Regions from separate parts of the Mus musculus genome. Here regions 1, 2 and 4 are each reported to be linked to region 3. Evidence: microRNA targets listed by miRTarBase, many of them from high-throughput screens and not tested one by one. Region 3 holds a microRNA gene; each other region holds the end of a gene's coding sequence.
Evidence for each region. The annotated mature microRNA mmu-miR-669c-3p reads UACACACACACACACAAGUAAA and lies in region 3 at 4,127-4,148, shown strand. An mRNA with a match to its seed (bases 2 to 7 or 8) in the 3' UTR can be bound and repressed. Matches are read on the target gene's strand: a 7mer-m8 pairs with bases 2 to 8, a 7mer-A1 pairs with bases 2 to 7 and ends in A, and an 8mer does both.

Region 1: miRTarBase lists Slc8a2 as a target of mmu-miR-669c-3p. Seed matches in the 3' UTR shown: 7mer-m8 at 6,415-6,421 and 8mer at 6,412-6,419.
Region 2: miRTarBase lists Adat1 as a target of mmu-miR-669c-3p. Seed matches in the 3' UTR shown: 7mer-m8 at 5,972-5,978, 7mer-m8 at 5,970-5,976, 7mer-m8 at 5,968-5,974, 7mer-m8 at 5,919-5,925 and 7mer-m8 at 5,917-5,923.
Region 4: miRTarBase lists Sec62 as a target of mmu-miR-669c-3p. The part of its 3' UTR that is shown has no 7-base or 8-base seed match.

Annotation. Positions count from the first base shown.
Region 1 is chr7:16,157,988-16,166,249 of GRCm38, reverse strand. It overlaps Slc8a2 (solute carrier family 8 (sodium/calcium exchanger), member 2), which reads right to left. Exons shown (of 10, transcript NM_148946.3): 10 at 5,739-7,446. The coding sequence ends at 7,070. Among named protein-coding and RNA genes, the nearest start is that of Meis3, 13 kb to the left of the region's middle.
Region 2 is chr8:111,961,441-111,969,702 of GRCm38, forward strand. It overlaps Adat1 (adenosine deaminase, tRNA-specific 1), which reads right to left. Exons shown (of 10, transcript NM_013925.5): 10 at 5,458-7,104. The coding sequence ends at 6,966. Among named protein-coding and RNA genes, the nearest start is that of Gabarapl2, 25 kb to the left of the region's middle.
Region 3 is chr2:10,505,233-10,513,494 of GRCm38, forward strand. It overlaps Mir669c (microRNA 669c), which reads left to right and starts at 4,064; the gene lies at 4,064-4,172. The region is part of intron 10 of Sfmbt2 (Scm-like with four mbt domains 2); the gene reads left to right. It overlaps Mir467e (microRNA 467e), which reads left to right and starts at 489; the gene lies at 489-575. Mir466p (microRNA 466p) reads left to right here and starts at 774; the gene lies at 774-862. It also overlaps Mir467d, Mir466, Mir297c, Mir669a-2, Mir297b and Mir466d, and 2 more genes.
Region 4 is chr3:30,817,505-30,825,766 of GRCm38, reverse strand. Sec62 (SEC62 homolog (S. cerevisiae)) reads right to left here. Exons shown (of 8, transcript NM_027016.2): 8 at 4,504-7,267. The coding sequence ends at 6,801. Among named protein-coding and RNA genes, the nearest start is that of Sec62, 29 kb to the right of the region's middle.

The sequences.
Region 1 (8,262 bases), not on the chromosome of region 3:
CTAGAGAAATTACCCAAGGAGCTAAAGGGAACTGCAACCCTATAGGAACCCTATAGGTAGAACAACAATATGAACTAACCAGTACCCCGGAGCTCTTGTCTCTAGCTGCATATGTATCAAAAGATGGCCTAGTCGGCCATCACTGCAAAGAGAGGCCCATTGGACTTGCAAACTTTATATGCCCCAGTACAGGGGAACGCCAGGGCCAAAAATGGGGAGTGGATAGGTAGGGGGTTTGTGGGTAGGGGGTTGGGGGTGGGTGGGTATGGGGGACTTTTGGGATAGCATTGAAAATGTAAACGAGGAAAATACCTAATTAAAAAAATAAATAAAGAAAGAAAATCCTCATTTGATCAAAAACTGTGCACATTGTATACTGTTTTGTTATGTTAAAAAAATAAGTGTTTTGCCTGTATGTATGTGCACTATGCGCAAGTTTGGTGTTCAGGGTCAGATGAGGGCACTGGATACTCTGGAAGAGGAATTATAGACTGTTGTGAGCCACTATGCTGGTTTGGGGACTCAAATCTGAGTCTTCTGCAAGAGCAACAAGTGTTATTCACCAATGAGCCATCCCTCTAGTCTTTAAATTCTTTTATAAAAAAAAATTATTGTTGGGTGATGGTGGTGCTCACCTTTAATCCCAGCACTAGAGAGGCAGAGGCAGGCAAATCTCTGTGAGTTCGAGGCCAGCCTGGTCTACAGACTGAGTTCTGAGACAGCCAGGGCTACACAGAGAAACTATGTCTTGAAAAAACAAGTTTTTATTTTATTGTATTTTAAAGTGTGTGTGTGTGTGTGTGTGTGTGTGTGTGTGTGTGTGTTTATGTGCACCAGAGTTCAGGTGCCTGTGGAGGCCCGAAGAGGGAGGATAGGTCCTCTGGAGCTGGAATTATAGGTGGTTGTGAGCTTTCTAACATAGGCTTTGGGAATCAAAGTCGGGTTCTTATGCATGCGTTTAACGGCTGGGCTTTTTCTGCAGCTCCTCATGTTAGTCTCAGGAGGTGCCCTGCTCCCTCCATGAACACGTTGGATCCTAAGAAACAGCTACGGGACAATGGGTGTGTGGCTTGGTTGATGTCTGCAGAAGCACAGCAGGAGAGAGGGTCCTGAGATACATTCCATTAAGTCACAGTGGAGACAGTGGCAGGCTGAATAATGGCCCCCAGATGTCCACTCTACAGTCCTCAGAACCTGAGAATTTCCAAATGTGACCCCAGAAGAATTTGTAGATGTGTCCAATTTAAAATTCTGGGGACAAGGAAAAGAAAAACATTAACTATATAGGTGGACCTGACGTGCCACCACCTGGGACCTTTTAGTTAAGAGAGGGTCATAAGGAAACTCCATGAAGTGGAAGGAGCTGGAGTCAGAGGAGGTGGGAATGGAAGCTTCTGGAATCTTGGAAGCAGATTCTCTCCCCTTCCTCAGATTCCCGGGGAGTGCAACCCAGCTAACATCATGGTTTAACATGGCATCGGGCTTTGAGGAACATCCGTGTTGCTTTAAGCTGGAAGGTTTGTGGGAAACGGACTTTTGGAAGGTTTCTGATCTGGATTTTCAGACCTGTGTCTCATCCGGAATGGAAAGCACACAGTTTCTTCTTGTCCTGTATCCTGCTGCCTTTTACACACACTCAGAACACCGGAGGGGAGCATTCTCTCCAGAGAGAACTCCTAAGACTCACTTTCCCAGCCTCCAGTGTGTCTATCACATGACTTGGGTCCCAGTAAGGTCCTAAGTTCCAAATGTGCATCTTGCAGAAGGGGACCCCGATGGGATCCATCTGTGAGGTGAGGGAGCATCAGAACAAGAAAAACATGACAGCAGTGACATGACCTCCCAGGGAGACAAACTGAGATATCAAAGATCAGTTGTGTTTTGGATGCTAGGGATGAAACATTTTGCATACTAGGAAAATGCTCTGCCTTTGAGCAATATCCCCAGCCCCTCACTGGGGGATTCTAGGCAGGGGCTCTACCACTGAGCCATACTTCCAGCCCTTCACTGGGGGATTCTGGGCAGGGACTCTACCACTGAGCCACACTTCCAGCCCTTCACTGGGGGATTCTAGGTAGGGGCTCCACCACTGAGCCACACCCCCAGCCCCTCACTGGGGGATTCTGGGCAGGGGCTCTACCACTGAGCCACACCCCCAGCCCCTCACTGGGGGATTCTAGGCAGGGGCTCCACCACTGAGCCACGCCCCCAGCCCCTCAGTGGGGGATTCTAGGCAGGGGCTCTACCATTGAGCTAGATTCCAAGCTATTTCTTTTGGACCCAAGCAAGTCTGCCATTCCTCACTCCCTCCTACAAGCCTTGATGGACATCACTCACCCAGTCCCTCTGGCACATTTCCACTGTACTCATTCATTCTTGCTAACATAGAGCTGTTCCTTGGTCCTCTGCATCCCGGGCCTCATTTCTGCCTTTCTTCACTGTGAGACCTTGGGTAAGCTGCTGCACCTCTCTCAGCCTCAGTTTCCTCTTCTGTGAAGTGGCTGCTGGTGCAGGGGGCATTCTGGCCAAGGTCCTGGTTCAGGACCCTCTGATCCTGGTCACCTCTCACTACTCTCTCCCCTCTCCAGACTTTCTAAGTGTGGTCTGTGCACCTTGACCCAGTTTCCAGCTCTACGCACTCCACATTGGGCTAATTAAACCCCATGCTCTCTACCCCCACACAGACCTCACCAAGTCTCTCCCAGCAAGGTCCAAGCTCAGATGTTTTCTTTTCTTACAGAAAGCTTCTCAACTGCCCTAGCAGCAGCACACACCTTTACGTACGAAGCAGAGGAAGGTGGATCTCTAAGTGTGAGACCAGCCTGTTCTACAGAGTGAGTTCCAGGACAGCCAGGACAACCCTGTATTAGAGAGAGAAGAGAGGAAAGAGGAGAGAGGAGAGAGGAGAGAGGAGAGAGGAGAGAGAGAAAGAGATAGAGAGATAGATATTCTCATGATATTCTCATGTAGTATAAGTTGGACAGGCTGTCCTTACTTACCTGCCTCCCTAGTGCTGGGATTACAAATGTGGTGGTTTGAATAGCTTTGGCCCCCATATTCTCAAGTGTTGGAATGGTTGGCTCATAGGGAGTAGCACTATTAGGAGGTGTGGCCTTATAGATGGATGTGTGGCCTTTTAGAGAAAGTGTGTCACTGTGGAGACCCAGCTTTGAGGTCTTAAATGCTCAAGCTACACCTAGTGTGAAACACATCTAGTCCCTCCTGCTGCCTGGGGATCAGGATGTAGAACTCTCAGCTCTTTCTCCAGCACCATGGCTGCCTGCACGCTGCCATGCTTTCTGCCATGATAACAGACTGAACCTCTGAAACTTCAAGCCAGCCCCAAATTAAATATTTTTTTCTTTAATTGCCTTAGCCAGGCAGTGGTAGCATGCGCCTTTAATCCCAGCACTTGGGAGGCAGAGGCAGGCAGATTTCTGAGTTCGAGGCCAGCCTGGTCTACAGAGTGAGTTCCAGGACAACCAGAGCTACACAGAGAAACCCTGTCTCGAAAAACATTAAAAAAAAAGAAAAAAAAAAGCATTGCCTTGGTCATGGTGTCTCTTCACAGCAATGAAGCCCTAAGACAAGCTCACACTACAATGACTGATTTTATGTGATGTGGGGGATTGACCCCAGGGCTTCATGCATATGAACCCAGCCCTCTACCACAGGAGATGCAGTCACAGCCCACTGTGATTTTGAGGTAAGGTCTCACTCACTCTGTAGCTCAGGCTGGCCTGAAACTCAGTCCTGCTTCTGCCTTCTGAGTTCTGGGATTGCAGGTCTGTGCTAATGGTTTCATCTTAGAGTGTCCCTGAGCCCTTCACCCAATCCGTCACGCCAGATTTTTCCTCATGAGCATGCCATCTTGGAAACTTGCCTGCCACCTGGGTTTCCCTCTGCTCTTCTGGTGTCTCCCTTGCCTTCATCTCTCTCACCCATGCACACTTTAAATGTTGGAGATACCCCGAGGCACTGTTTCTGTTCTTCCCCCGGGCAGCCTATGCCAGTCCTGGCTTGCTGACAAGTCCCAGATCCCCCTCTCCTGCAGTTTCCTTTTCTGAGGGCCACAGCACCCTAGACTTCTCTCCCCTGTTTCTTCTGCATTTGACAGCCCCCCCCCCCCCCGCCACCATGTGCTCTCCTGCTCTCTTCATTCTAGACTGACAGGCGCTGGCTTGAGCCCGTGGCTACAGGAGCTGGTGGGACCTGGAGGGTAAGATTAGTGTGCTCGCTCATCCTTTAGTGCTGCTCTCAGGCACTCCATGTGTCTGTGTTGCTCATGCTACCCCCAGCACAGCAGCTCGATGGGCCACTGCAGCCTCTGCTCATCTTGTGTCCAGGGAGGGCAGCTGCTTCCTTTGTACCCAGCCCTGTGGTGGCATGGGCACCTTCCCTGTCCCTACCCGAGTCACTTTAAGGTCTTTTCCCTAAATTCCCCCTCAGTCACCACCTCTTTCCAGCCGATAGGTCTTCCTGTGCCTTCTCACTGGCTTGATCTGTGACCTGATTTCCAACACCCAGTCCAGCCTCCACTCCTCTTCTCCTGCCTGAGTTCCTGATTTCCAACCTCTGATATCACAGGAAGTCGCTGATATCACAGGAGTCTATGAGGAATGCTTAAAATTATAAATCAGGAGCTGGAGAGACAGACGGCTTGGAGATTAAGAACATTGACCCGGCAGGGTACAGTTCCCAGTATCCATTGCGTGGCCCACGATTGCCTTGTTCTGGGTATCCAAAGCCCCCTTCTGGCCTTCGCAGACACTACACGCACATGATGAACATACGTACACAATCAAAGTACACATACACACAAAACAAAAAAATTATATAAATCAGCTGACATCATCTGCTGGCCTGCTCCTTCTAAATTTCTTCTGAAGCAGCCCTTTGCTCTTAAATCTTAAGCCTCCTTGTGTGGCTATTACCGGCTTTTACACTTGGTCCTCTGAAGGTCTCTCTGCTCCCCACTCCATGCAGGAAGCGCGTCTTTCGTTTCTGCTCATCCTTTGTCCCACTCTGAAAAAGCCACTGCCTCACACGTCTGTACACATTAACTTTGTACTCATTCCCTAGAATAATCCACCCTTATGAAAACACACACACACACACACACACACACACACACACACACACACACACACACACACACACACACACACCTCCTGTTCCATGCATGATTCTGAGAAAGTGACCTATTTTATTTAGGAAACTTCATCAACCTCAGCTCCCTCTGGCTCAGGCAAATTAGAGTCCTTCTCTTTTGCAATCCCACAATATCCTATGAAGAGGAACCATTTGTGGCTGGTGAGTGGGGTGTGGCCAGCAGAAGCTCAGGACTGTGAGGGGCGTGGCAACCAGGGCTAGGTTCTTGGTTGATGGGTGGGGCATGGTACTAGAAACCTATGGCTGCTTGGCAGGGGCGTGGCTAGTGGAGGCTCATGATTGATGGGTGGAACATCAGTACTAGAAACCAATGGCTAATGGGCAGGGGTGAAACTAGTAGATGCTCTTGGCTAATGGGTAAGGCGTGGTACCAGAAGCCTATGGCTTTTAGTTATGGTTGTGGCTGGTGGAGGCTCTGGTAACATTGAATGTGGTTAGCGTATGCTGGTGTCCTGCTGTCTGGCCAACTCTAATGCAAAGGCTGCCGGGTCTGTTTCCTGTGGTCTAGATGTCGGAGCTGCTACCATCCCTTTCCTCCTGCACCCCAACTTCCCACGGGAGGACTGTTCAGGCAGAATTTCAAAGTTTTATGGCAGTTTTTTACAGAAACCACAGAGAAGGGACATCAAGTGATGCTGATGAGCAAGGGGTGAGAAGGGCCGTGGGTAATGGGTCTGATGCACAAATGGACAAGAAAATGCAAAAATAATAACTTAGGGAAAGCAGAAGGCTGTGAGGGTGGCAGGGTCACCTAAGGTCGCAAGGAGTGGGCAGCACTCCCCGTTCCCCAAGGATGTCTTTTTTGGGGCAGGAGACATCAACAGTAAGAAAATGCAGGTGGCCTACCAACAGATGTATGGCCTGCAAAGTTAAAAATGCCCACCCAGCCCCCCTCCCACCCTCCCCTCCACCCCCGCCCCCCAACAGGCAGAGATGTGGCAGCATTTGCTGGCTTGTAGCATTGGTCCTCTGGGACCCTCGGTCTCCTCTTCGAGGGTCCTGCCCAGATTGGCTGGCACTGAGAGCAAAATAAACCTTCTAGACTAGAGTACTTTCGTTAACCCTTCTAGAATACTGTCAGGGGAGGTCAGGTGGGCTCCCTTTGAGTCTCAGTCTCATCCACTAAGCTGGTTCTCAGGCTGAGTGAGTCCTGCTGCCCTCTCAGAAGGGAAAGTCTGTCAACGCCCCTTTCCCCAAGACATGCACCCTCCCGTGTCCCCCCTCCCCAAACACACTATATACACACACAGGCTCCTCCCTCCAAGGCGTGGCTAGGCTCTCAGAGGTAGTGGAGGGTGAGTAGGGCGCTGGAATGTCAGAAGTAGTGGGTTCAAGATGTGCCTCCTCTGGCTAAGCCTGGGGGACAGATACTCCAAACGTCCCTCCTCCATCTCCAAGCCTCTGAGTGGATAAATCAGGGAAGGTGCGTGCCTTTCTCCCTGCTCCCCGCACAAACCCCTATTCCTTTCCCTGGGGACTGCAAGGGAGCTCCCTGAGGGTTGGGGTGGTTAAGGGCAGAGATGGATGGCGTCCTGGGATGGCACAGCCTCCCTCTGAGGTACCTAGGGAGATGTTCTAAGACCTGGGCGCACAGGTGGAAGTTCGTGGCTTGAGGGAGGGACACGAGAAGACAGAATCAGGCTCGGTGCCCAGAAAGACCGAGAAGTAGTGTCTGGCCAGGGGACTCGGGTTTACCTCACAAAGGATGGGCTGAAGGGGATGCAGCTGAGAAGGGAGGGCAAAGGATGGGATTCCAGGGGGAAAGGGAGGCTGATCCCAGGAAGAAGGCTGAGGAGGAAGAGCCTAGGGAGCGCCCAGGCTGAGTCTGGGTAGAGAGACTGGTGGGTCCAAGAGCAAATGCCACCAAGTCCCCACCCTCAGGGCGGTGGCTAGGGCCCTAGAAGCCCCGGATGTGGCAGTAAGCCTCCAGGCTGGAGAAGAGAATGTAGAGGAACCAGAGGCCCAGGAAGAGAGCGGTGGTGGCCAGCTTGGGTCCCCGCGGGCCGCCCAGCTCGCCGCCAATCTGCGGCCGGCGCCGGTACAACAGCACTGCGATGCACACGAAGGCGAAGACGGTGAACAGCGTGACCGAGAAGGCCAGCGTGCCTGCACGCACCTCGAAGGGGCGACCCTGCACCGCCCAGTATACCGCTGCCACCGACCAGGCCACACCCAGGCCCAGGAACACGTTCACCGCATTGGAGCCGGTCACGTTACCGATGGACGCGTCGGCACACTGGTCCTGCAGCGCGGCCACCTTGCTGGCGAACGTGTCTACAGGGACAAGACGGAGGGGGGGGGGTGCGGTGTGAGAGGCTGCGTGACGTCCCCAGACCATTGCCTACTTCCTTTGGGATCGGTCTTCATGCAGTAAGCTTCACTGTCTGTGGAACACTTCTTTGGGACTTTTGTGCAACCAGTAGGCTCCACCGCCTACTCTCAATGGCATCAAGCTTGCTTTCTGTAAAGCTGGCATTGAGCTCTCGTCTAGGGGCTCACTTTTTAACTTTGGAGGAGCTGCTGCTGCCCAGCCCTCGTCCCATCACACCCCGTAAGGAAACAGCAATGGGTCCCCACATGTGCGCTTCCTGTTGATGATGGCATTTTGTTCCAAATGTACTATCCTTCCCAAGAGGTTTGCTGGGGTCCAGACAATCATGGCCTCAGCCTCCCTACAGGACACAAGGCACTGCCCTGTTTCTGGTGCATGTTCACCATTATACTGTCTGCTCTCTACTCTCATCTGAGTCGATTTAGCCAGGGTGGTATGCATACCTGCACTCCTAGCACTTGGGAGGCTGAAGAAAGAGGATCACCATGAGTATGGGGCCAGCCTGGGCTACATAGTTGATTCCAGGGCAACCAAGACTACAAATTGAGACCCTATCTCAAAACAAAAAACAATAAACAAAACAAAACTAAAACAAAAAAAGTGTGGTGGTATATGCCTATAATCCAAACACTTGGAGGTGGAGGCAAGATGGTCAGGAGTTCGAGGCCAGGTTCTTCTATATAATGAGTTCTAGACCAGCCTGGACTACCTGAGACCCTCTATAACAAAACAAAACAAAACAAAACAAAACAAAACAA
Region 2 (8,262 bases), not on the chromosome of region 3:
GGTCTGTCATCAGTGGCTTCAGTACGTCTTGCTGGGTCCTAGAGTGAAGCAGATGTGGGCAGAGCAGCGCCCACCAGCATGCAGGCACCTGCCTCCACCACCAGGTTTGTCCAGTAGGCTTCCACTGAGGGTAAGCTTTTAGCTCTGTAAGTCTAGACAGCAGATTGGACACAGTTGCTTCTGAGCTGAAGGGCAGACCCAGACTGGAAGCTCCCAAGCACAAATCACTGTCAGTGCAGGAGACAGCCCTCCTCTCAAACCTGTGCTGTATATGACCGAATTTCACCCTCCCAGCCCCGATGCCAGTGCGCGAGGATTCTGACACTCTGAGGATGATTGATTACCTTCCTAGGATCCTAAACCAGTACATCCTAGGGCCACATTCCACTCTAACCCAGTGCCAGACTCACCGGGGGTCTGCTAGGTTAGATGGGGAGGAGGCCTGCCCTTGTATATATTCCACAGGAATGTACGTATGCTTTAGATCTAGCATGGGTCTAGAATGGGTCTGCTTTGGGCATGAAGTACACTCTAGTTTAACGTGAGTTTTGGTTTCTTGAAAATTGGGTTTGTGAGCCTTGCACCAATTTTATACTCCATTGTTTTAGAATTCTGAAGTATTTCAAGCAAAAAACTAAATTCCTGTGGCTATCTATCTACCTACCTACCTAATTTTTTGAGACCGTGTTTCTCTGTGTAGCCCTGGCTGTCCTGGAACTTGCTCTGTAGACCAGGCTGGCCTTTAAATCAGAGATCTGCCTGTTCCTGCCTCCTGAGTGCTGGTGTTAAAGGTGTGAGCCCTCCCTCCCCCGCAGCTATGGCCCTTATCGTAATCTGGTTAGTTGTTATACTAAACTATGGTAAGGGAGGTGCTTCATAAACAACAGATTGATCCCTCATATGTCTGGAAGCCAGGAAGAACAGATTAAATATGTGTATTAATTAGTTAATATGTGGGTTAATTAACAGATTAATTAGCGAGACACAATCCCTGTTTCTCGATGGTCATCTTCTAACTACGTTGTAACTGGTGGGGATCTTTCTGAGGTATTTATTGATTTTATTGAGGCAGAGTCTTGTATGACCCAGGCTGTCCTTGGACAGGGCAGGTACCATTATGGCATCACACCAATCCCATTCCTGAGGGCTCTGCCTGATCTCCCTCAAAGATTCTGTCATGTGCTACCACTGTCATATGGGGAGTTAGGATCACGACCTAAGAACTGCAGAAGGAGACAGACATCAAGGCAGAGCTGGGCTTTCAAGTAGAGTTTGGAAGGTAATATGAATGTTCCCAGCAGAGCTCTTTTCTCTCCCTTCCTCCTCTGCCTGGCCAGTCTCCCAATACAGGAGTTACTGATAAGCTTCTATAGAGAGACATTCCTGACAGCAGTGGTTAGCTGAACAACATTATTACTGCAGGAAGATACCAGTGGGAAGGACAGTTCTCACAAGAGGCAAAAATAAAACCAAAACCAGGAAGATGCTGAACCTGTGTATAGGAGGAATGAATATAAATATCTGGAAGGAGCAGGGTCCTAAGACTTCAAGAAACACTTTTCTTCTCAACGAAACCCAACTCGAGGCAGACGGCACCCAAGGCTAAGCATTCATCTGCTGTCCAGAGAATCGGGGATACCTCCGGGTACATTTCCTCAGCAGTTCCCCCACAGGCTCACTGTAAAGGCCTGCTGCTGAACGGAAGACAGAGCTGGGAAAGGGCTCTGTGATACCGCCCAGTGGCCAGGTTGGTTTCACTGCTGAGGGGCCCACCGTGCCTCCCTTCGAGACACCTCTGGGTTCAAAGCGCATCTCATTCTCCTGGCTGCCTGGACAGATGCCCACCACTGTTTCCATTGTGAGCTCTTCCCTTGGGAATACGGCCAGTTTCAAGGGACGTGTACTTGAGACCAATGTCTGGCAGTTTGGGTTCCTACTTGGAGTGACTTTCCGCCTCTGCCTCCCCCCCGCCCCCCAACCCCCCAGCCTCTGCCACACTTGGACACCGGAAAGCAGTGCCAATCAGACTTGATTTGAAAGGTTGGTTCCTAACCCTTGCTGACTCATCCGAATAAGGGCAAAACAGCAAATCCACACCAGAGTCCCCAGGCTGCTAGATTAACACAAAAGTCCCCCTCCCCTCCCCCCATCACTAGTATAACTGAGGCCATAGGCAGGTCAGAGGGTCACAGCATCAGAGTGTCTTCCATTCAACAGCAGGCCTTTACATTGAGGAAAATTCCCCAGTGCTTTACTTAGGCAATTAAGAGGTTTCTTCTGCCTCCGTTTTTGAGCCAGGGTATTACTCCTTAGCTCTGGATGGACTGAACTCCGTAGGCCACGCTGGCCTTGAACTCAGAGGTATGCCTGCCTCTGCCTCCTATGTGTGAATCTAAGGTATGTAATGCCACACCCCACCCAATTAAGAGATGCTAAAAAGTGGAACTAGGGAAAGCTCTGAGCCAAGTGCTTGCTTAGCATGCGGAAAGATGCTGAGTTTGATTCGCAGCACACAACTTTTTAAAAAAATGAGAAAGCCTACCCTACACTTGAAAACACTTGCGCAGCCTAGTTGCTGGTACTTGCTTTTGTAGAACAGAATGGAGGTCACAAGTCAAAGGTTAAATGCCTTCCCAGCATACAGCTGGTTGTTGGTGGCAGAGTTGGTACTATCATGTCATTTGCATCCATGGCTGTACTCAAATTTATTCTGATTCCAAGTAATAAGGACTTTTTTTCTAACACATTCTAAATTGAGGTATAATTACATTTAAAAAAACAACAAAAAAAAAAGGAGCACAGAAAACTGTAGACCTTCATAAACTTCCACAAGATCTGCATTCCTCTATTTAATACCCTAAGTAAAACCCTGACTGTTGGCCAGGCATGGTAGCACCCATCTGTAACAGCAGTTTGGGGAAACTAGGATGGGAACATCACAGAGTTAGAGGCCAGCGGGGGGCCTCCTCCCAAAACATCACCAAACAAACAAACACTACCAACCAAGCAACGTGTGGTTTTGTTTTTCCTAGTGCAGGAGACTGAAAGTAGCAACTTGCACGCATTACCAAGTGCTGCCTCCCACCCACTGTCCCCAGTCTAAATAAATACTGACTAAAAAGGCTGCCTACTCCAGCTCTGAAGCGTCTCTGACTCATTTCTCTCTGTCCTTTGGGCTACAGGACCACCTGAAAATCATTTGGGATCTACTTGGATGGCTTTACAGGGAAACAGGCTGGTTCAGTTACAGACACAGCTAGTTTTAATTTCGGTTTTTTGGTTTTGCTTTTGTTTCTCAGGATAGAAGGTAGCCCTGAATGTCCTGGAACTAGCTCTGTAGACCAGGCTGGCCTTCAACTTTTATCAGCTGGAATTGAAGGCACGCACCAACACTGCCTAGCTTGCTTTTTTTTTTTTTTTTTTTTTTTTTAATGTTTTTAAAAAGATTTGTGTGTAAAGTCAAGGCAACTATGATTCTGCAAAATGAGGTATACAATGAACTATTCTGCTCAGAAAATACTTTCTCTCCTCGACCTCGGCCTCCCTGGCTCTGAGCTCAGGCACAGTCAGGATGGTGTGGCTGTACATCCGGAGCCTGCCTGGCTCTTTCTGAATCTAGCCACTCCCTTTGGTTAGCCAGCTCAGTGCCTTTGGGAAGGTTTGCTTGGGCTCCTGAACAAACACACACACACACACACACACACACACACACACACACACACACACACACACACACACACACACACACACACAGACACGATACACAAGTTCTGGTTTTATTGGTGGCAGGATGGCTGTTGTTTAGAAACTGGAAAACTCTGGCTTAGGAACCTTGTTCTAGGTCTGGGTGGAGGCAGCTTTCCAGCAGCCACAGACACAAGCAGGTCAGACAGGGGGCCTGCACCTCTCCAGCTGGCAACCAGGGCAGCCCCTTCTTCTCCACAGCAACTTCCTCAGTGAGCTCATGCCTGGCACTGGGGAATCCATAAAGCATGGCATTTGACGTGGCATCCCTCCATCCTGAAGAAGAACTATGTGCGCACACAGGTGGTGGCAGACACGGCTGAATCAGATTAGGTTCTGAAAATTCTGAGGAAAACTCTCTCTCTCTCTCTCTCTCTCTCTCTCTCTCTCTCTCTCTCTCACACACACACACACACACACACACACACACACACGCAGAGTCATAACATTAGACCCTATTTAGGCACACACGTAAATGTAATCTTTCCTCCAGAGCCAAATTTGCCTTTTTTTTTTTTAGTTGAAGACACAATTTTGTGGAATTACGCATGGGTTAGAGTTGCTGTTCCAATTCCTGTGCAGCTTCATTTCTGAGGGGCTTCTAGTTTTTCTACAGTTTAAAATATAAAATCCTTCACATTAATTAAAAAAGACCCCTGGGTGGGGTAGCACTGGTGGTTGGGCTGGAGCATTTGCCTACCATATGGAAGGCCCTTCCTAGTTTCTCTGATGAGATGGGGCAAAGGGTCCTGCTGGCCGTCCTGTTCCTGGTGGTGGTCTATGGGCACCAGTGGAGTGGATGGATGGGGAGTGGGGACACGCATGAATGTCCTCATATTCTCTGATTTTACCAAAGAAACCAGGTTTGCTGCAGCCAGGGCCCAGAGAGGACACAGGAGGGACACAGGTCAAATGATAATCAGAGCCACCTTTTCTCTAGAGGTCTTCATGGGTTTGGCCCAAGGCTCACACTGGACAATGTTGCCTGACTGAGGATAAACAGGATACGTGGGATAACTTATGGAGAGGGCTGCTTTCTGGCTTGGGATTTTAGGAAGATAAGGAGTTCCAGGGCAGCCTAGGTTTCAGAAGACACAGTCTGAGACCAAGCAAGCAAGCAAGCAAGCACTTGCCAGGATTACAGAGATGTGATGTTAAGGCATACATACAATTCTAAACTTTTCTTTTTTGGGGCTTTATGAGACAGGGTTTCTCTGTCTCTGACAGACAGCTTTGGCTGACATGGAACTCCAAGTGTTGGCATTAGAGGCATGCACCCCAACCCCCCAGTGTAAACTTGGGTTTTAAGAGCATAAACTAGGATGCAGGCTGTTGGATGTTTAAATACCACCTTTAGCGCTTTGAGACAGTAAGTGAAGCTCAAGGGAAGTTGCCTTTAGTGGTTAGCCTTCAGTGTTTTCTACCCAGATGCCAGTGACTAAGGGTGTGAGTAAACTTGACAGATTATAACTTTAGGAGTAAAAATATATTACTCTTTGAGACCCTTTCTTCCTACTGGGTTTGGGTTGCCTTGTCTAGTCTTACTGCAACTTGCTAGGCCATGGTTGGTTGATATCCACTGGAGGCCTGCCCTTTTCTGAAGAGAAATGGAGGAGTGGATGGGGGTAGGGGAAGGTGAGGTGGGGGAGGAAGGACTAGGAGGAGAGGGGAGGGGAAAGTGCAGTCAGGATGTGAAATAAGTAATTAAAAAATGTTACTACTTCACATTTAATTCAAGTCTTTATAATATAAAAATCTCATAAAAGAACACTGCATGGTGGCACACAACTTTAATCTCAGCACTCAGGAGGCAGAGGCAGGCAGATCTCTGCATTTGAGGCCAGCCCGGTCTACAAAGTGAGTTCCAGGATAGCCAGAGCTACACAGAGAAACCCTGTGTGGAAAAACAAAGCAAAGCAAAGCAAAGCAAAGCAAAACAAAACAAAACACTATAAACCACAGTGACATTGAGTAGCAAGCAGAGCTTCTGCTTCCAGGTGGGAATAAGCTGAGTGCTCTCTCCTAGGTGACAGTTAAACAGGGTTAGCTGCTACGTCGTTTGCTGATTTGTTGTAGGAAATTAAGGCATTTGGGAACTGAGTTAAAAAGAAAACAATTTAGTCAGAACAGGAACCTGGTAAGATTGCTCAGCTGATACAGCTGCTTACTGCCACACACACACCGTGACAGTGTGCCCCCCCCCCCACCGTGACAGTGTGGCCCACACACACACACCTCGACAGTGTGGCCCACACAGATAAAGACACTAAAGACAATCAAACCAGGCATTTGCCTCATGTGGTTTTGTGCAGGCTGGAGCCTTCATTCTTGGCTGGCTGTCTCTGTGTGGTAGGAAAAGACGGTGGCTACTGGCAGTTACAAGACTATAGTGGACCTCATGACATTGCTCAGAAGAGAATCCAGGAAGCAAAGTTTGAGGTGACACTTAGAGGCAGAGGTGGGAAGATCAGAGTTCAAGGTCACCCTTGGCTTCATGTTGAGTTCAAGGCCAGGCTGGGCTATAGAGAGAGGGATCCGGTCTCAAGCAAAAGGTAGAAGGGAGGGGGAGGGGAAGGGGGAAAGGGAAAGGAGAGAAAGAGAAAGAGGGGTGGGGAATGATGGTGGCTTCAAAGTGAGACTGTCTCAAAACCAAAACCCAAACCCAAACCCAAACCAACCAACCTTTCTTGGTAAGTCTGAGAACAGAGCTTTCCGAGGCTAGTCCTGTGCTGAGCCTGATGGTAAAGCTAACTCCAACCATGTCTAGTTGCTGAGGACTGGGAAGTGATGATGGTTACAAAGGAAGGCTGCAAACAGGAAATACATGGTTTTCATGAGTCCGGGAGAGGCTATAAAGCTTCCAGCACCCTAAGATGATTTCAGCCCAATGCGTCCTTGCTGAATCAATGTAAGGAGATCTACACCAGAGCTGCTGCAGGCTACTTTAAAAGCATCTGATGCTGTATTTTAAAGAACCAATAAAACACAATTGAAGGCAGCCATCAAGAGCATTACTGAGAGGCTATTTTAGCACGGAGCTGCTCCAGTCAAGTATAGATTGCTGAGGTTCTGCGGTCCATTTATGACACCAGAGAGGTGCAGCGAGCGCTCTGGGAGAAGGCAGCTCATTCTCCTGGGATTTAACCACCAGAAAAGCAGAGGTTCGTTCAGCATGAAGGGAGAGGCAGACCGATACGAAGGGTCCTGATACCAGCAAGAGTTCATTTAAATTGGTGGTAGTCGGGTGGGTTTCTGATCCAGGACGCAAACGGCTGTATCCTGCGGAGGGCACCCCAGGCTTCCTGGTAGGCGGACGCAGCATCCTTGTACTCCTGATAGGTGTCCAGCTTCTTCGTTACCCTAATGCACACATGCCATCAAGCACAGTCCTGACTGAGTGCTCGCCCACCCTCAGAGCGACGGAGCGGCAGGGGAGGAGCAGAGGGAGCACTCTGTCCCTCCACTCCACAGGGAGTGCATGTTAAAGCAACACAGGCTTAAGCAGGTTAGAATCACACAACACTGGCTTTGTATGGCCCGTGTACAATCAGATCAAAGCTTTCTTTTCTCTGTGGTGCTGAGGATCACAGAGTTTCGTGTACACTGGACGGTCTCCTCCTCCTGTAATCGAGCTGTCTACCCCAGCCCTGACTTAGGGTTTCTACCAGAGGTCCTAGAGACGAAAACCTTGACGGTTTTTTATGCTAAGGACATGACATGACACCTCCACTCTCCTGCTATGTGCTGCAGCTGACATCCTTTAGCCTCTCAGGTGGAAAATGCCCCGTACTCTGAGTAGCTGTAATTCTGAGGAGATTTTCTTTAGATTTGGACCAGGACCAAAATGTGGGTGGGAGTGCTCTGAGTCCTTGTCTTGGCCTTGAGTTCTGCCCTGGCTTTGTGGTGTGAGCTGGAACTCTCCAGTGTCTGTTTAGCTCTCACTCTTTCATCCCCTTCAGTACTGGAGCCAGTTCATCACTTTGGGCTGGGCGGGTGGCTCAGCCGGCAGGGTGCTTGCTGATCAGCACAAAGCTCTGCCTTTGATCCTCGGAACTGAGCAAGCCGGGTGTGGAGCATACTCCTAATCCTAGCCCTTGGAGGCAGAGACAGGAGGAAGGCACTGCCGAGGTCATCCTTGGCTATGTAGCAATTTGAGGCTCCTTGGCCTCAGGAGACACTAACTCAAAGGGGGTATTTTTTTTTTCTTTCTTTCTTTTTTTTTTACTTTCTAGCTCATTACCCTGCCTGCCTTTAGCAAGAATCCTACTTAGTATACGTCTACTAAGAATTACTCTAGCCTAGCTTTGAAATTAGCTTAGAAGGCAGAGGCAGGCGGATTTCTGAGTTTGAGGCCAGCCTGGTCTACAAAGTGATTCCAGGATAGCCAGGGCTATACAGAGAAACCCTGTCTCAAAACAAAACAAAACAAAACAAAACAAAAATTAGCTTAGAATTTTTTTTTTCCATTCTGCTCCTGGCTCAAAGTCTCCACTTGTTCATGTACTTGGGAGCTGAGCC
Region 3 (8,262 bases):
CACAAATACACATGGCAATCATCCATTTGATTTATATGTGCTTAGAGTTTTATAGAGTGCATATTCATGGGACAGGAAACATCTCATTAATCAGATGCAAACCATTTGCCAGAGTCAGGAGGATCTGGAGTTCAAATTCATGTTTAACTTCATGATGAGTTAGAAATCGTACTGGATTTATGTGATGGACCCTAGGTATGTGCATGTGTGTGTAACTTTGTGTGAATGTACATGTATGCATATAATTATACATATACATACACATGCATGCACACATACAGACTTGAATACTCACACACATAAGTATGACTCTCATTGATCAATTTGAATGATATATGTCATTGAATTTTATTGATTATGAAGTAGAAGGACACTGAATGGTCTCACTCAACAGGTGTAAAAAATTGACAGTGTCAAGAGGATCAGGTGTTTAATTTCATGCTTAACTTCATGAAAGAGTGGTGCAATGTGATGGTCCCTATGTATGTGCCTGTGTGCATAAGTGTGAGCATGTATATGTGTGTATATTTTATGCATATACATACACACACCTATATACACATGCACACAGACATGCGGGAATGGCCCTCACGGATCCATTTGAATGATATGTGACCTACTGCTTTGGAGGTTATGTATGACTGGGCCAGAGTGAGGTCTCACAAACCACGGGAAAACCCTTGGTAGAGTCGGGAAGATCAGGAGTGCAAGTTCATGGTAAAGGCATGATGAGTTAGAGGTCATCCTGGCATTCATGTGATTGCCCCTATGTATGTGTATATGTGTTTATGTGTGTGTACATGTACATGTGTGAATATGATGATATATACATACACGCACACATAAGACACATATGAGCACACAGACACACAGGAATGGCACTCACTCATCGATCTATGTGACTGTGAGCTTTGGAGATTATGTATGACTAGATCAGGGAGAGTTATCACCCATCATATTAAAAATGCTTGTTTAAATCAGGAGGTCAGGAGGTCAAATTCATGCTTTATTTCATGATGACTTAGAGATCTGCCTGGGAATCATGTGATGCCCCCATGTATGTGTATATGTGTGTAACTGTGTGTGGATTTGTGTACATGAATATACATACCTACACACACGTAGACCCATACACAGACACACATATGAATGCCACTCCTCAGTCCATTTGAATGATATGTGACTTAGAGTTTTAAGATTCCTCAGTACTGAATAGGGAGAGGTCTCACTCAGCAGGTGAAATCCCTTGCCAGAGTCAGGTGGATCAGGAGTTCAAATTTGTGCTGAATTTCATGATGAGTTGGAAATCAGCACGGGATTCATGTGATGCCCACCAAGAATGTGCATGTGTGTATAGTTGTGTGCATATTCATTTCTCTATATGAATATGCATATGCACACATGCACACACATTCATAGGAATGGCCAGAGTTATTTCTTAGGTAGGAGGTGAATAATCTTGCTAGAGTCAGGAGAATATGGTGTTCAAGTTTATGTTTAACTTCATGATGCATTAGAGATCAGCATGTGTTTCATTGATGCACACCAAAATGTGCATGTGTGTGTAGTTGTGTGCATATTCACTTCTCTATGTGAATATGCATATACACACATGCAGACACAGGAATGGCACTCATATATCCTTTGGAATGGTATGTGACTCAGAGCTTTAGAGCTTATGCAGTGCTGGGCCAGAGCTATGTCTCAGTTAGGAGGTGGATGCTCTTGCCAGCGTCAGGAGGTCCCAGAGTTCAAATTCATGTTTAACTTCCTGATGAGTTACAGATCAGCCTGTTATTCATGTGATTGTTTCTGTGTATGTGTATAGATAAGTTTGTCTGTACATGCGGATATATGAAAAGACATATATTGACACATATTCACACATGCATGCATACAGAAACACATGGCAGTCATCCATAAGTTTTATATGTGCTTAGAATTTCATAGAGTGTATATTTATGGTACAGTGAAATATCTCGCCAACTAGATGAAAACCGCTTGCCAGAATCAGAAGTCTTGGAGTTCAGAATCATGCTTAACTTAATGATCAGTTAGTGATCATCCTGGATTCGTGTGATGGACCCTAGGTATGTACATGCACACATAATTTTGTGTGCATGTACATGTGTGTATATGATTATACATAACACACACACACACACACACACGTATAAAAGCAAGCACACACACACCAAGGTATGGCATTCATCGATCCATTTGAATGATATATGTCTTAGAATGTTACTGATTATGCAGTAGAAGGACAGTGAATGGTCTCACTCACAAGGTGTAAACAATTGGCATTGTCAGGAGGATCAGGAGTTCAATTTCATGCTTAACTTCATGAGCAGTTAGAGATCATCCTGGAATAATGTGATGGCCCCTATGTATGTGCCTGTGTGCATAAGTGCGCGCATGTATATGCGTGTATATTTTATGCATATACATACACACACCTACACACACATGCACACAGACATGCGGGAATGGCCCTCACGGATCCATTTGAATGATATGTGACCTACTGCTTTGGAGGTTATGTATGACTGGGCCAGGGTGAGGTCTCACAAACCACGGGAAAACCCTTGGTAGAGTCGGGAAGATCAGGAGTGCAAGTTCATGGTAAAGGCATGATGAGTTAGAGGTCATCCTGGCATTCATGTGATTGCCCCTATGTATGTGTATATGTGTTTATGTGTGTGTACATGTACATATGTGAATATGATATCCATATACATACACGCACACATAAGACACATATGAGCACACAGGCACACAGGAATGGCACTCACTCATTGATCTATGTGACTGTGAGCTTTGGAGATTATGTGTGACTAGGTCAGGGAGAGTTATCACCCATCATGTTAAAAATGCTTGTTAGAATCAGGAGGTCAGGAGTTCAAATTCATGCTTTATTTCATGATGACTTAGAGATCTGCCTGGGAATCATGTGATGTCCCCATGTATGTGTATATGTGTGTAACTGTGTGTGGATTGTGTATATGAATATACATACCTACACACACATAGACCCATCCACAGACACAGACACACACACGCATGCCACTCCTCAGTCCATTTGAATGATATGTGACTTAGAGTTTTAGAGATTCTGCAGTACTCAATAGGGAGAGGTCTCACACCACAGAGTCAGGTGGATCAAGAGTTCAAATTCATGTTTAACTTCATGATGAGTTAGAGATCAGCATGCTATTCATGTGATGACCATAAAGAATGTGCATGTGTGTATAGCTTTGTGCACATACACTTCTCTATATGAATATGCATATACACGCATGCACACACACTCACTCACAGGAATGGCCAGAGCTATGTCTCAGTTAACTTACCAGGTAAAACGCTTGCCTTTTGGATCAGCAGTTCAAATTCCTGAATAACTTCAAAATGACCTAGGGATCAGCCTGGCCTCATGGCATCCTCCCCCCATATATGTGCATGTGTGTATAGTTTTGTGTATATGTACATGTGTGTATACAAATATACATCTACATACAGACAAACATAAACACACAGGCACGCACACACACACACACACACACGCGCACACACACAGAGGAATGTCACTCATTGATCCTTTTGAATGACAGGTGACTCAGAGCTTTAGAGATTATGCAGGGCTGGGCCAGTGAGTGCTCTCACTCACAAGGTGAAAATGCTTGCTTGCCAGACTTTGGATGACCAGGAATCAAAATTCATGCTGAACTTCATGATGAGTTCGTGATCAGCTTCGGAGTCTTGTGATGACCCTAGTATATATGCCTGTGTGTATATGTATGTGTGCATGTACATGTGTGTATATGAATATACATATACATACACACATACCCATACAAACATGCATACAAACACACAAAAATTGGCACTCATCCATCTATTTGAATAATTAGTGACTTAGAGTCTTAGAGATTCTGTATGACTGGGGCTGACAGAGAGAGGTCTCAGTCACCAGGAGAAGACTTGCTAGATTCAGGGTGATCAGGAGTGCACATTCATGTTAACGGCATGATGAGTTAGAGATCAGCCTGGCATTCATGTGATGCCTCCATGTATGTGCATGTGTGTATAGTTGTGTGTGGATGTGTGTATTTGCATATAAATAACATACACACACACACACAAGTAAACACAAGTGCACAAACAGACACAGGAATGCCATTCATCGATCCATTGGAATGATAAGTGATTTAGAGTTTTAGAGATTTTGAAGTAGAGACGGTGAATTGTCTCACTCACCAGTTGTAAACGATTGAAAGAGTCAAGAGGATCTGGAGTTCCAATTCACTCCTATGTTCAGCTAGATAGCATCCTGGTATTCATGTGATATCGCCCATGTGTGTGCATGTGAGTATAGTTGTGTGTGCATGTCTGTATTTGAATATACATAACATACACACACTAATGCAAGTACACACACACACACACACACACACACACACTCACACCAATGCCACTCATCAATCCATTGGAATGATGTGTCACTTAGAGTATTAGAGATTATGCAGTACTTGGCCAGTGAGTGCTCTCAGTCTCTAGGTGAAAATGCTTGCTAGAGTTAAGAGTATTCAGGAGTTAAAACACATACTGACCTTCATGAGGATTTAGAGATCAGCCTGTGATTCATGTGATGGCCCCATGATTGTGCATGTGTATATAGTTGTGTGTGCATGTTCATGCATGTATTTGCATATACATAACATACACGTATAAACGCAAGCACACACACATAGAGACACAAGAATGGCTTTCATCGATCCCTTTGAATGATATGTCACTTAGCATATTAGAGATTATGCAGTACTTGGCCAGTGAGTGCTCTTATTCTCTAGGTGAAAATGCTTGCTAGAGTTAAGAGTATCAGGAGTTTAAATTCATGCTTATCCTCATGAGAGATCAGCCTGAGATTCCTCCATGTATGTGCATGTGTGTATAGTTGTGTGTGCATGTTCATGTCTATATTTGAATATACATAACATACACACACACGTATAAACGCAAGCACACACACAGACACAGGAATGGCATTCATTGACCCATTTAAATGATATGCCACTCAGAGTAGTAGAGATTATTCAGTATGGGGCAAGTGAGTGCTCTCATTCTCTAGGTGAAAATGCTTACTATAGTTAGGAGTATCAGAAGTTCAAATTTATGCTTATCTTCAGCATGATTTAGAGATAAGCCTGTGATTCATGTGATGCCTTAAGTGTACATGCAGGTTTGTATAGTTGTGTGTGTATGTTCATGTGTCTATATGGATATACATAACATATACATAGACATATAAACCCTAGCGTGCACACACACACACACACACACACACACACACACACACACACACACACGAATAACATTCATAGATCCATTTATATGATATGCCACCTAGAATATTAGAAATTATTCAGTACTGGGCCAGTGAGTGCTGTCATTTTCTAGGTAAAAATGCTTGCTAGAATCAGGAGTATCAGGAGTTCAAATTCATGCTTATCTTCAGGAGGATATAGATATCTGCCTGTGATTCATGTGATTGCCACCCATGTATGTGCATGGGTGTATAGTTTTGTGTACATGTGCATGTGTGTATATGAATAGACATAACATGCACATACATATAAACACAAGCACACACACACACAGAGACACAGGAATGACACTCATCGATCCATCTGAATGATAGGTGACTTAGAGTTTTAGAGATTATGCAGTAGTGGGACAGTGAATGGTCTCAATCACCAGGTGTAAACCACAGAGTCAGGAGGATCAGGAGTTCAAATCCATGCTTAATTTCAGTTGGAGATCATCCTGGTATTTCTGTGATGCTACCCATGTATGTGCATGTGTGCTTACTTGTATGTGCATGTGCATGTGTTGATATGAATATACATAACATAAACACACGTGTATATGCAGGCACACACACACAGAAGAAATTGCATTCGTCGTTACGTTTGAATGATATATGACTTAGAGCTTTAAGAGTATGTATTACTGGGCCAATGAAACGTCTTACTTACCAGTAAAAATGTTTGTTATATTCAGATGGATCAGGGGTCCAAATTCATGAGTAATTTCAAAATGACATAGAGATCAGCCTGACTTCACGGGGTTCCCCCCAATGTATGTTTATGTGTGTATAGTTTATGTGCATGTGCATGTGTGCATATGCATATACATATACATCCATACAAACATATAGAAGTAGCACAGATACACAGACACACACACACACACCCATCAATCATTTTGAATGACAGGTGACTTAGAGTTTTAGAAATTATGCTGTGCTGGGCCAGTGAGTGCTCTTAGTCAAAAGGTAAAAATGCTTGCCAGAGTCAGGAGGATGAGCAGTCAAAATTCATTCTCAACTTCATGATGAGTCTGGGATCAACTTCGGATTCATGTGATGCCCCCAATCTATTTGCTTGTGTGTATATGTATGTGTGCATGAACATGTGTATATGAATATACATATACATACACACATACCCATACAAACATGCATACAAACACACAGAAAATGGATACTCATTGTTCTATTGAATGATATGTGTCTTAGAGTCTTAGAGATTCTGTATGACTGGGCCAGGGAGAGGTCACACTCACCATGTGACGCCCCTTGCCAGAGTCAGGGTGATCAGGAGTGCAAATTCATGTTAACTGCGTGATGAGGTAGAGATCAGCCTGTCATTCATGTGATGGCCCCTGTGTATGTGCATGTGTGTTTGTGTGTGCGTACATGTACATGTGTGTATATGAATATACATATACATACACGCACACATAGATACGCACGCACACACACACACAGGGATGGCACTCATCAATCCATTTGAATGATAAGTGACTTAGAGTGAAAATGCTTACTAGAGTTAAGAGTATCAGGAGTTCAAATTCATACTTATCCTCATGAGAATTTAGAGATCAGCCTGTGATTTATGTGATTCCTCCATGTATGTGCATGTGTGTATAGTTGTGTGTGCATGTTCATGTCTATATTTGAATATACATAACATACACACACACGTATAAACGCAAGCACACATACACAGATACAGGAATGGCATTCGCCAATCCCTTTGAATGATAAGTCATGTAGAGTTTTAGAGATTATGCAATAGGGGACATTGAATGGTCTCACCCACCAGGTGTAAAAGATTGACAAAGTCAGGAGGATAAAGATTTCAAATTCATGCTTAATTCAGTTAGAGATCATCCTGGTATTCATGTGATGCCACCCATGTATGTGCATGTGTGTTTACTTGTATGTGCATGTGCATGTGTTGACATGAATATACATAACATAAACACATGTGTATATGCAAGCACACACACACACACACAGAGAAAAAATTGCATTCATTTATATGTTTGAAAGATATGTGACTTAGAGCTTTAGCAATTATGTAGTACTTGGCCAATGAAACTTCTTACTTACCAGTAAAATGTTTTTCATATTCAGATGGATCAGGAGTTCAAATTCATGAGTAACTTCAAAATGGTGTACAGATCAGCCTGGCTTCATGGGATCCTCCCCAATGTATGTGCATGTGTGTATAGTTTTGTGTGCATGTGCATGTGTGTATATGAATAGACATATACATCCACACAAACATATACAAGCAAGCACAGATACACACACAGGAATGGCACTCATCGATCCATTTGAATGATAGGTGACTTAGAGTTTTAGAGACTGCAGTAGTGGGACAGTGAATGGTCTCAGTCACCAGCTGTAAATGATTGACAAAGTCTGGAGAATCAGGATTTCAAATTCATGATTAACTTCAGTTAGAGATTATCCTGGTATTCCTGTGATGCCACCCATGTATGTGCATGTGTGTTTACATGTGTGTGCGTGTACATCTGTGTAAATGAATATATATATATATATATATATATACATATATATATATATATATATATATATATATATATATATATAACATAAACATACATGTATATGGACACACGTATGCACACATACACACAAGGAATGGAATTCATTGATATGTTTGAATGATATGTGATTTTGAGCTTTAAAGGTTATGTAGTACTGGTCAAATGAAAGTTTTTCTCACTATGTAAAAGCTTGCCATATTCAGAGGGGTCAGGAATTCATATTCATAAATAAATTCAAAAGAGAGTAGAGATCAGCCTGATTTTATGGGGTTCCCCACAATATATTTGCATGTGTGTATAGTTTTGTGTGCATGTGCATGTGTGTATATGAATATACATATA
Region 4 (8,262 bases), not on the chromosome of region 3:
CTATAATCCTAGCATTTGAGAGACTAACAAGATTGCTAGTTAAAGGTCATGCCTAGATAATGAAACTTGTCAAAAAACTACAATTAGAACAAAACAAACAAAAGATGGATTGTCTCCAAGACACCTAGATTTCTAGGATAAGCATGTGAGGTTTGAGATAAAATTTAATTGTGCTTTTCACTGTTTGTACTTATTACTGTGTATGCAAGTCATCTTTTAGTTCCAGATGGACATTTCCTTCAAAGTAGCTTATGAAAACAATGAAGCGTTCCTTGGCTTCCATGACTGAAAAGCCCCAGTTGGCTTTGGGAAAAGTTGGAGTTGAAGGCTCAAAGATCACATTCTCAATGCCTTGGGTCTTCCTGATCTCTTCTTGGCTCTCATTACTTTGTGCTAGGATTATTTCATTAGCTTCATTCATGGGAGGCAACATTGCTACTGATATCTTCAGGTCTACAGGGTCCTTGGAACTCAAGAACCCTGGAGGAAGTGAGATTTGGTTGGGGTACCTTTGTTTTGGGATTGGAGTGTAGAGTGGAATGTATGATTGCTACAGAGGAGAGGGTGTGATTTCCAAGAAACTCAAATAAAATTCAAGCCATAAACGACTTACTAATAGATTTTCTTTAAAGACATTAAGTCATAAAGTAGGACTCAGCTTAAGTAGTACTGGCTACAAAATATCTCAAACATAAGTGGTGTGCTAGCCAGGCCTGTTAGAGATATGTAAAATTCAGGATTCTAGGATGTAAATGTTTGTTCATTGGGATTCACCAGCTATTAGCGTCTGTTCCCATAAGAAAGACAACCCTGATTAACAACCAGCCATTAAGCCTATTCTCAAAGACATACCTTTAGGTTATAACATTATAGGTTATTTCTATCACTCTTGGTTGCCCCACCAGAAGTGGAAGGTAAGTGCCTATTGCTGAGACACCATGCACTTCAGACACAGGGTCCAGAGGCCCCTGAGCTGGAATCAACCTGAATACTCACTCTCTGAGGACTAACTTTCATGGCACCTGAAGTTGCCATGCAAGCTTCCAAAGGGGAGAAGCAACCAACAGTCTAGCCATGAAGCCTTTAACCAGCATGGATGGCAAGATAACCCTAAGGTGCAGAGTGGTAGGCATATCTTGGAGGTAATCAACAACTAAGGCCCTTCAACAAGAGGGAAAGCATACTTGGTATCAGAAATCTAACCAATTACCCAGGCTAGTGAAGTCATGGATCCTGAAAAAGAACCTACAATTGCCTCTTTATAAAGGACCAGAATACCTAACTGCACTCTAAATATTTGTCCTTATAGCTGTAGTTAAGAAACTTCTTTGTGACAGAGATCTTTACAGAAAACAATAACCAATCAAAATGCAGAACTGTGGAGCCCAATCCCGACAATATATCTCCATCACAACTCCTGAAGGCTCAGGGATCACTGCAGAAGAGGGTTGGAAGGACAGTAAGAGCTGGAGGATCTAGGAGTTTGCTATGAGATTGTGTCTCCTAGTAAGGTCAGAAGCTACACCATCAAGTCTCACAAAGACGACTGTCTAAACATGAACTGAACAAAGAGAACAGACATGCTAACACGGGATGGGGAAAGTCCATAATGTCTTAAGTCTACACAAAGAACTACAGGCAATGAGGTATGCTGAGATCTGGTCTTCCCTAGGGAAGAACACATCAATTGGTTATTCGATATCAAGTGGTCAGCCCTGAAATCATATATACAAGGAACATTATACAGACAGCAGGTTTTATGTATGTTTTTATGTATTTATGTAACAAAATTGAACAAAAATAGAGGCTAAGAATTTGAAAAAGAACAAGGAGAGATACAGAAGAGGGTCTGGGGTATAGAAGGGGAAATGATGTCATGATACTCTCAAAATACACACACACACACACACAGAGAGAGAAAGAGAGAGAGAGAGAGAGAGAGAGAGAGAGAGAGAGAGAGAGAGAGAGAGAGCAGGCTGAGCAAGTCATAGAGAGAAAGCCAGGAAGCGGCACTCCTCTATGACCTCTATAGTTCCTGCCTCCAGATTCCTTCCCTGGCTTCCCTCAGTAACAGACTTCTGTAAGAGAAAACAAACCTTCGCTTCCCCATTTCATTTTATTTTAGTCATTTCAGCACTAGAAATACTAACTAGACACACATCTGAAGCATTTTCTCTGTTTCTGACACAATACTACTATCTCATTCTTTCAGATCAAGATACACCCAGAAGCCTTCTCAGATCCCGTCTGATCTGGCATTCATGCATGTGATAGAATAAGCAAGCCACAGATACCCTTAGTATCACATAAAACTCTGTGTGAATATTAAGGATTCAATTACACTAAATAAAGTTCCATTGGCTTTTGGAATGGGACGCTGACAAATTAATTACTTAGATCATAATCATACTCAAAGCCCATACTTTGCCACATGTGGCTACATGCAATACTGTTAAAAATCAAAGAGATAGGGTCTATGGTACAAAAATGGTGGTCTAGGTATTTCCTTAAAATAAAAATGGGGCCAAAGTATGATGACTTGGTTTGTGAGAAAGATGTCCTCTCCCTTGAGCATCATGCATCATGATAGCAGAGATCACAGGGGCTGGGAACACAGTGGTGCTCCTGGGTTCAGCACCCACACTGGGTAGTTAAGCTTTAACTTGAGCTCCTGGAGATCTGCTTCTGGCTTCCACATGCACCCCACACCTGGTATAAACACACACACACACACACACACACACACACACACACACACACACACACACACACACACACATTAAACCTATTAAAGTATTTTCTTCCTCCAATCCTAAAATGGCAAACTTACAGATATACTCTTCATATGTAGCAGGGTAGAAAAGCCACATAATTAACTTTCTAAGGCACTCTGAATTAGGTTAAAGTGTACATAGACTGTTATTTAGATTTGCACAGCTGAAGGTAGAATATGTAAAGGAAACGTTGTGCAGTCATCTGCAGAGATCACTACTAGAATGCACAGGACATGCTTTCAAAATTTCTGGGCTCCTTTCTAATACTCAGTGCTGAGGACCTAAGAAGCAGGTAGTCGCCTGGCTCTAGTTCCAACAGAAGATGGCTTTCTATCAATACTTTGAAGACATGAGCACTTTTGTCAAGTGTGGGAACAGGCAAAGAGGAAGAACTATGCTTTAGGAACTGCACACAGGACATCAGGACATTACCTTTGTCACAAAGGGTGCCAGCACAAGAGTGGGGAAGAAAATTTTGGGAAAGTGGTGGCCTTTGATAGCAGGACAGCCTCATTGTGGAGACGATGGGAAACAGCATCGTTTGATTTCTGGAAGCCAGAATGGACAGGAGCCCCGCTGCTTATCCCTATTCAGGCCCATGTCAGTGGGCAGCAACCACAGAGGAGCTGGGACTAAGAGGCACCTAGCATATCTGGCAAACCGTTGCGCAGCACTCATCACGCTGGCTGTTGCTCCATGGTGGCAGACAGGACTTTCCTTCACGGTGTGCCTCAGCAGATCCTGACTTACAAAAGTGCTCCGTATTACTGTCAGTGGCTAGACCTGAAATACTGCTTGTAGTGGAGAAAAAGCATTTTACCAACAATACAAGTAGGAACTGTTTATTTCTGGGTAAATATTTAAAACATTACTCAATACTGGAACATGATTTGTCAATCAATTCTATTCTGGGGGCAGAGGCAGGAGGATCTCTGAATTTGAGGCCAGTCTGGCTTATGTAGAATTCTAGGCTAGTCAGGGCTATATAGACTCAAGAGTACCACAGATTAAATGTCATGACTACAAGTGCAGCCAGACTTCATTATTTTTGGATTCTAAGTTCTGGGAGTACATATTTGAGACGTCTAAATGCCCTCAGAACTTTTATGGCCAAGAGTTAGGCAGCAATCACAAGTGCCCACTGTACACATCTTGGCAGTGCCTGGACAGGGCTGTCTTCTACATCTTGCACTGCTTTTTTGTTTGTGAATGTCTGTTTTTCACACTTGTGCATTTTTGTCTGTGATTTTGTTTAAAATGGTCACTAAAGGTAGAGCTAAAATGCCATCTCATGTTCCTCAAGGGCACAAGTGCAGTGATGTGACTCATGGAGAAGATATGTACTAGAAATCTTCACTCAGGCAGAAGTTATATTTACTATTGGTCATGAGTCACTGTTAAGGAATTAATAACATATATTAACATGTTTTTTAAATAGAGACAGCTAAAGTAAGTTTACATATTGGTTGATTAAATGTTGGTAACAGGCTTGTCGAAACTTAGCCCAATACTTCCCTTAGACGTGGTTCAGGATTTGTTACTTCAGTGTTCCAGAGACTTCACAGAATATAACCACAATGAAAATCAATTGTACATACTGTTTCTCAATTTCTAAAAGTTTTGAAAAAGAAAACTTACAAATGACATGATCTTTCTAGGTAGAATCTAATTGGTATTTGTGATTAAAAAAACCAAAGAGAAAATACCAAAATCCATCACTACTGCGTACTTCAGTGTAATATATTAAAATTTATTATTTTCTGGGTAGTATTCGTTGAAATTATCAATTAACATTCTCTAGAAGGACTTATAATTTAAAAAACTTAAGAATTCTGTAGGAAGGAAAAGAAAAAGCACCCTATTTAACACATTAATTTTGAGAACATTCACATATGTACTATTCTTCCATCTGGACTCAGTTCCTGCTTAGTTCAATCCTGCATAGGCCAACATACATACACTCCATAGTAAACCCCACATTACCCAAAAGCTTTGTGCTTCTACTTACAGCAGCATAGGAAATCATTTTTTAAGAGTCACTACTCCATTGGCTAGTGTAAACAATTCTCCATGCTCTGACACAAAGACGTCTAAAGACTACAACAGAGGAAGCATTTTGATTTTTTAACTTGTTTAAAGTGTTTTACCTTGAACCATACAATAGAAATTAAGCTGAAATTTCTAGTCCATACCTAACGAAAACAAGAGTACTCTCCCCAAAGATCAGCAAATACTTATGAAAAATTTACTATCCACTTGTATCAGTAAGTGGACTTTGTAGCTAGCATTCTTTATTGTTTAGACTAGACACAGGACATATGTTACAAAGATCTTGCAAATAAATATTGAGTGCCTGGGTACTATACTAGTAAAGGTCAAACAAGCAGTTTTGTTTTATCAAAGTTTCTTGTTCCATTTTCATACCCTAAATAGGTATTAATCTACCTGTGACTAACAAGCTCATAAGCTGTAATTATCCTCTTCCTTACTGTGGACACGAGGCAGCAGGGCTCTGCAAATAAATGTGAAGGAAGAACACCGAGGCACTGTAATCAATGCACAGCGCTCTGAGGACCGCACCTACCGTTCCATCCACACAGGAAGACTAAAGAAACAAGTCAAGCTGTATTTCATAAGCTGTCAATATACAGACAATGGACAAACACAAGAAGAGAAACAGCCTAAAGGAGGATGAAGACCTATATATCCATCACCTACTAACTACAAAGCAAAACCACCGTGTGACTAAAGGAAAATCACTCACTGCTCACTGGGGTGTAAAACGTGGCTCCAAGGATTGCTTGTGTATATGCAGGCGTTTTAAAGAAGGTTTGTAGCGAAGGTGTGTAAAAAGTAAATGGCCAAACTAGTTTGAAGCAATTAGAGTCCAATGGCTTGCTGTGTTTTCTTTTATATCCTTTATTTTTAATTGGTATTTTAGAACAGCAAATTGTCTTTCACAGCAGTGCCTCCTCGTCTGATGACATAGCCCCCATTTCTAAATGTAAAGATTTAAAATAAATCAATGAACATTAAGGCGTACAAACAGCTACTACTTTAAGTCTGTTCTTACTTAATAAGGATAACTTTTACTCATATTAAAATACATGGAATGTTGGCACACAACTGAAGCTGCTGTAGAAAGATCAGATGTTCTGTGGGTTACTGAAACTTTCTAAAAACATACCTTACATGGTTTTTGTTTTACAAATTTCAGTGTTGAGAAATGTCTAAATAATAAGTAACAATTAAAATAAAATGTTTTATTTGTAAATTATGTACAGAATACATCTTATGTTATGACAAGGAGATGGGGAGGAAGGAAGAGCCTCGCCGTCCAGTCAGCGCTCCTCACTTCTGCTGGAGATGACCGCCTTTCTCTGGATTGAACGCACAGGTCAGTTGGGATTTCCTAAGCTGGAAAAGGAGAATCTGTAGCTGAATTAAAAGGGTTGCTGCACTGTTACTAGCTGGCTTGTTTCCACAAAATGCTCTTGATCCCTGCTAACTCAAAAACCTTAAAAAAGGAATTTTTCTGGTATAAGTTTATGAAAACAAAACAAAAAACCAAACAAACCTAAAAACCCAAAAAGAGCATAACTAGCAAGAACAATGAGTTTAAGCATTTGATCCTAAAGAAACTGCCAAGTGGCTATATACTTATGCATAATCTGAAATGCTGCAGTTTCTTTAGCAATTTCCATTAGTCTAACAGTAAAAAGCCATACAACTATCAAAAATGCCCTTATTCTAAGTGTCATTGTGGACAATGTACCTCTGATGACTATCAAAATGAGGCCTACTTACTGTAAAATTATCAGATGGATAAAACTTATTAATGGCTTTAAACTGTACCAATAACAGTACCAACGTTCTACAAAACAAAAGGCTGACTGTAACTGAATGTCAAATACATTTCAGAAAATGGATTTAAAGAATGCTACAAATGCCATCTGTACATCATGATGATCGGCCAACACAGAAAACCCAACCTGCTGTACTTATTTAGTCCCCCAGCTAGTCAGATTATGATTTCTCATGTGCAGATTTAGGCACCTCTCCATCTTTGTCGTCATCCTCCTCATCACAATCCCCATCTGTCTGCTGCTCCAGCTCCTCCTTCGTGATCATTTCAAAATCATTCCCGTTCCCGCTACTGTGTTGCGAGCGGTCGTCTTCCCGCCTGTCACTGTCCGTGTCTGAGTGCCGCTCTCCGCCCGAGCCTTCTGGTCCATGGTCTGCCGGAGCTCCTTTCCCTTCCTCATCCTCCTTTTTCTCACTGTCTGACTTTTCCTCACTGTCGGACTTCTGCTGCTTTTTGGTTTCAGATTTCTCATCCTTCTTTAAGTCTGCTTTTGGTCCTTTGTACTCATGTGTGTACAGGGGCCTGAAGGAGTCAATGAAGCCCACGTCAGCAGTCAGGTTTGGCAGGAACCAAAAGTGGTGCCTTCCTCCAGTTATCAGCCAGATGATGAGAAACAGGATGCAGCGAGCTGTGGGGAGCAAGGTTTCTCTTGAATAAATGAAATTAAGCCTTGAAGCAGCTACAGGTAATATTTGTTTGTAAGAACCTAGACAATATTTAGCTCTATTTGCATGTTTTATGCACCATAAAGACAAATACTTAAGATTAGATCAGCTTAGCACCTGACAATATTTTAGGAGCTGCTTGAAACTTAGAAACACAAATGTTATGATGCCGTTCTCAAAAAATTACTTTTTTTAAGTCATGGACATACACTGAGGACTTGTGCATTTTGTGAAGTTGTGCTTCAGTAAGAACAGTAGTCAGGTGGAAGTCGAAGCACCCATGACATCATCACACCATAAGTAAAGAAAATGTGAATAAGGACTATGAATGATACTGGAAGAAAGCAGCCAGAAGAGCAGAATGCCATGCAGCCTTACTTCCCTGTCCTTATGTCTTGTCCTGACTTTAAAAACCACTACATTCAACACACAATATAGTATAATGTAATATAATGCTGAAAAAGTGTATATACTGAAACATATATTATTATTCCTGATTTTAAAGTAAATACAAAAAACTCAGTGGGCCCTTAAATGTATTCTGGATATGAAGCATGTGCTAACTTGTTTAAAAGATAGCTCAGCTTTGAATGAAGAATCCAGGCATTAAAAAACCTCTATCATCAAATTCTTGTCTTGATAATTAGGCAAATTATGCTTATTTAAGTACCAACTGCTTCATCGTTAAGAAAAATTGTACGTACCTTAAACATAAGCTACATACAGTGGTGAATTACAATGGTGCTGCAATCCTGGCACCTGGGGGCAAGGTCTGAGCTACCCGCCAAGACTCTATCTCAAAACATTAAAATAAATAAAAACCAAAGGAACTCCAAGAAACCACATAATGCTCACACAGCCAAGATTGCTCAAACACATGATTTATGAGGGAACTTGTGTTTTTGTTGGTGCCTGGGCTGGAATCTGGGTGGCCTGTCAGCTAGGCGACATAAAACTA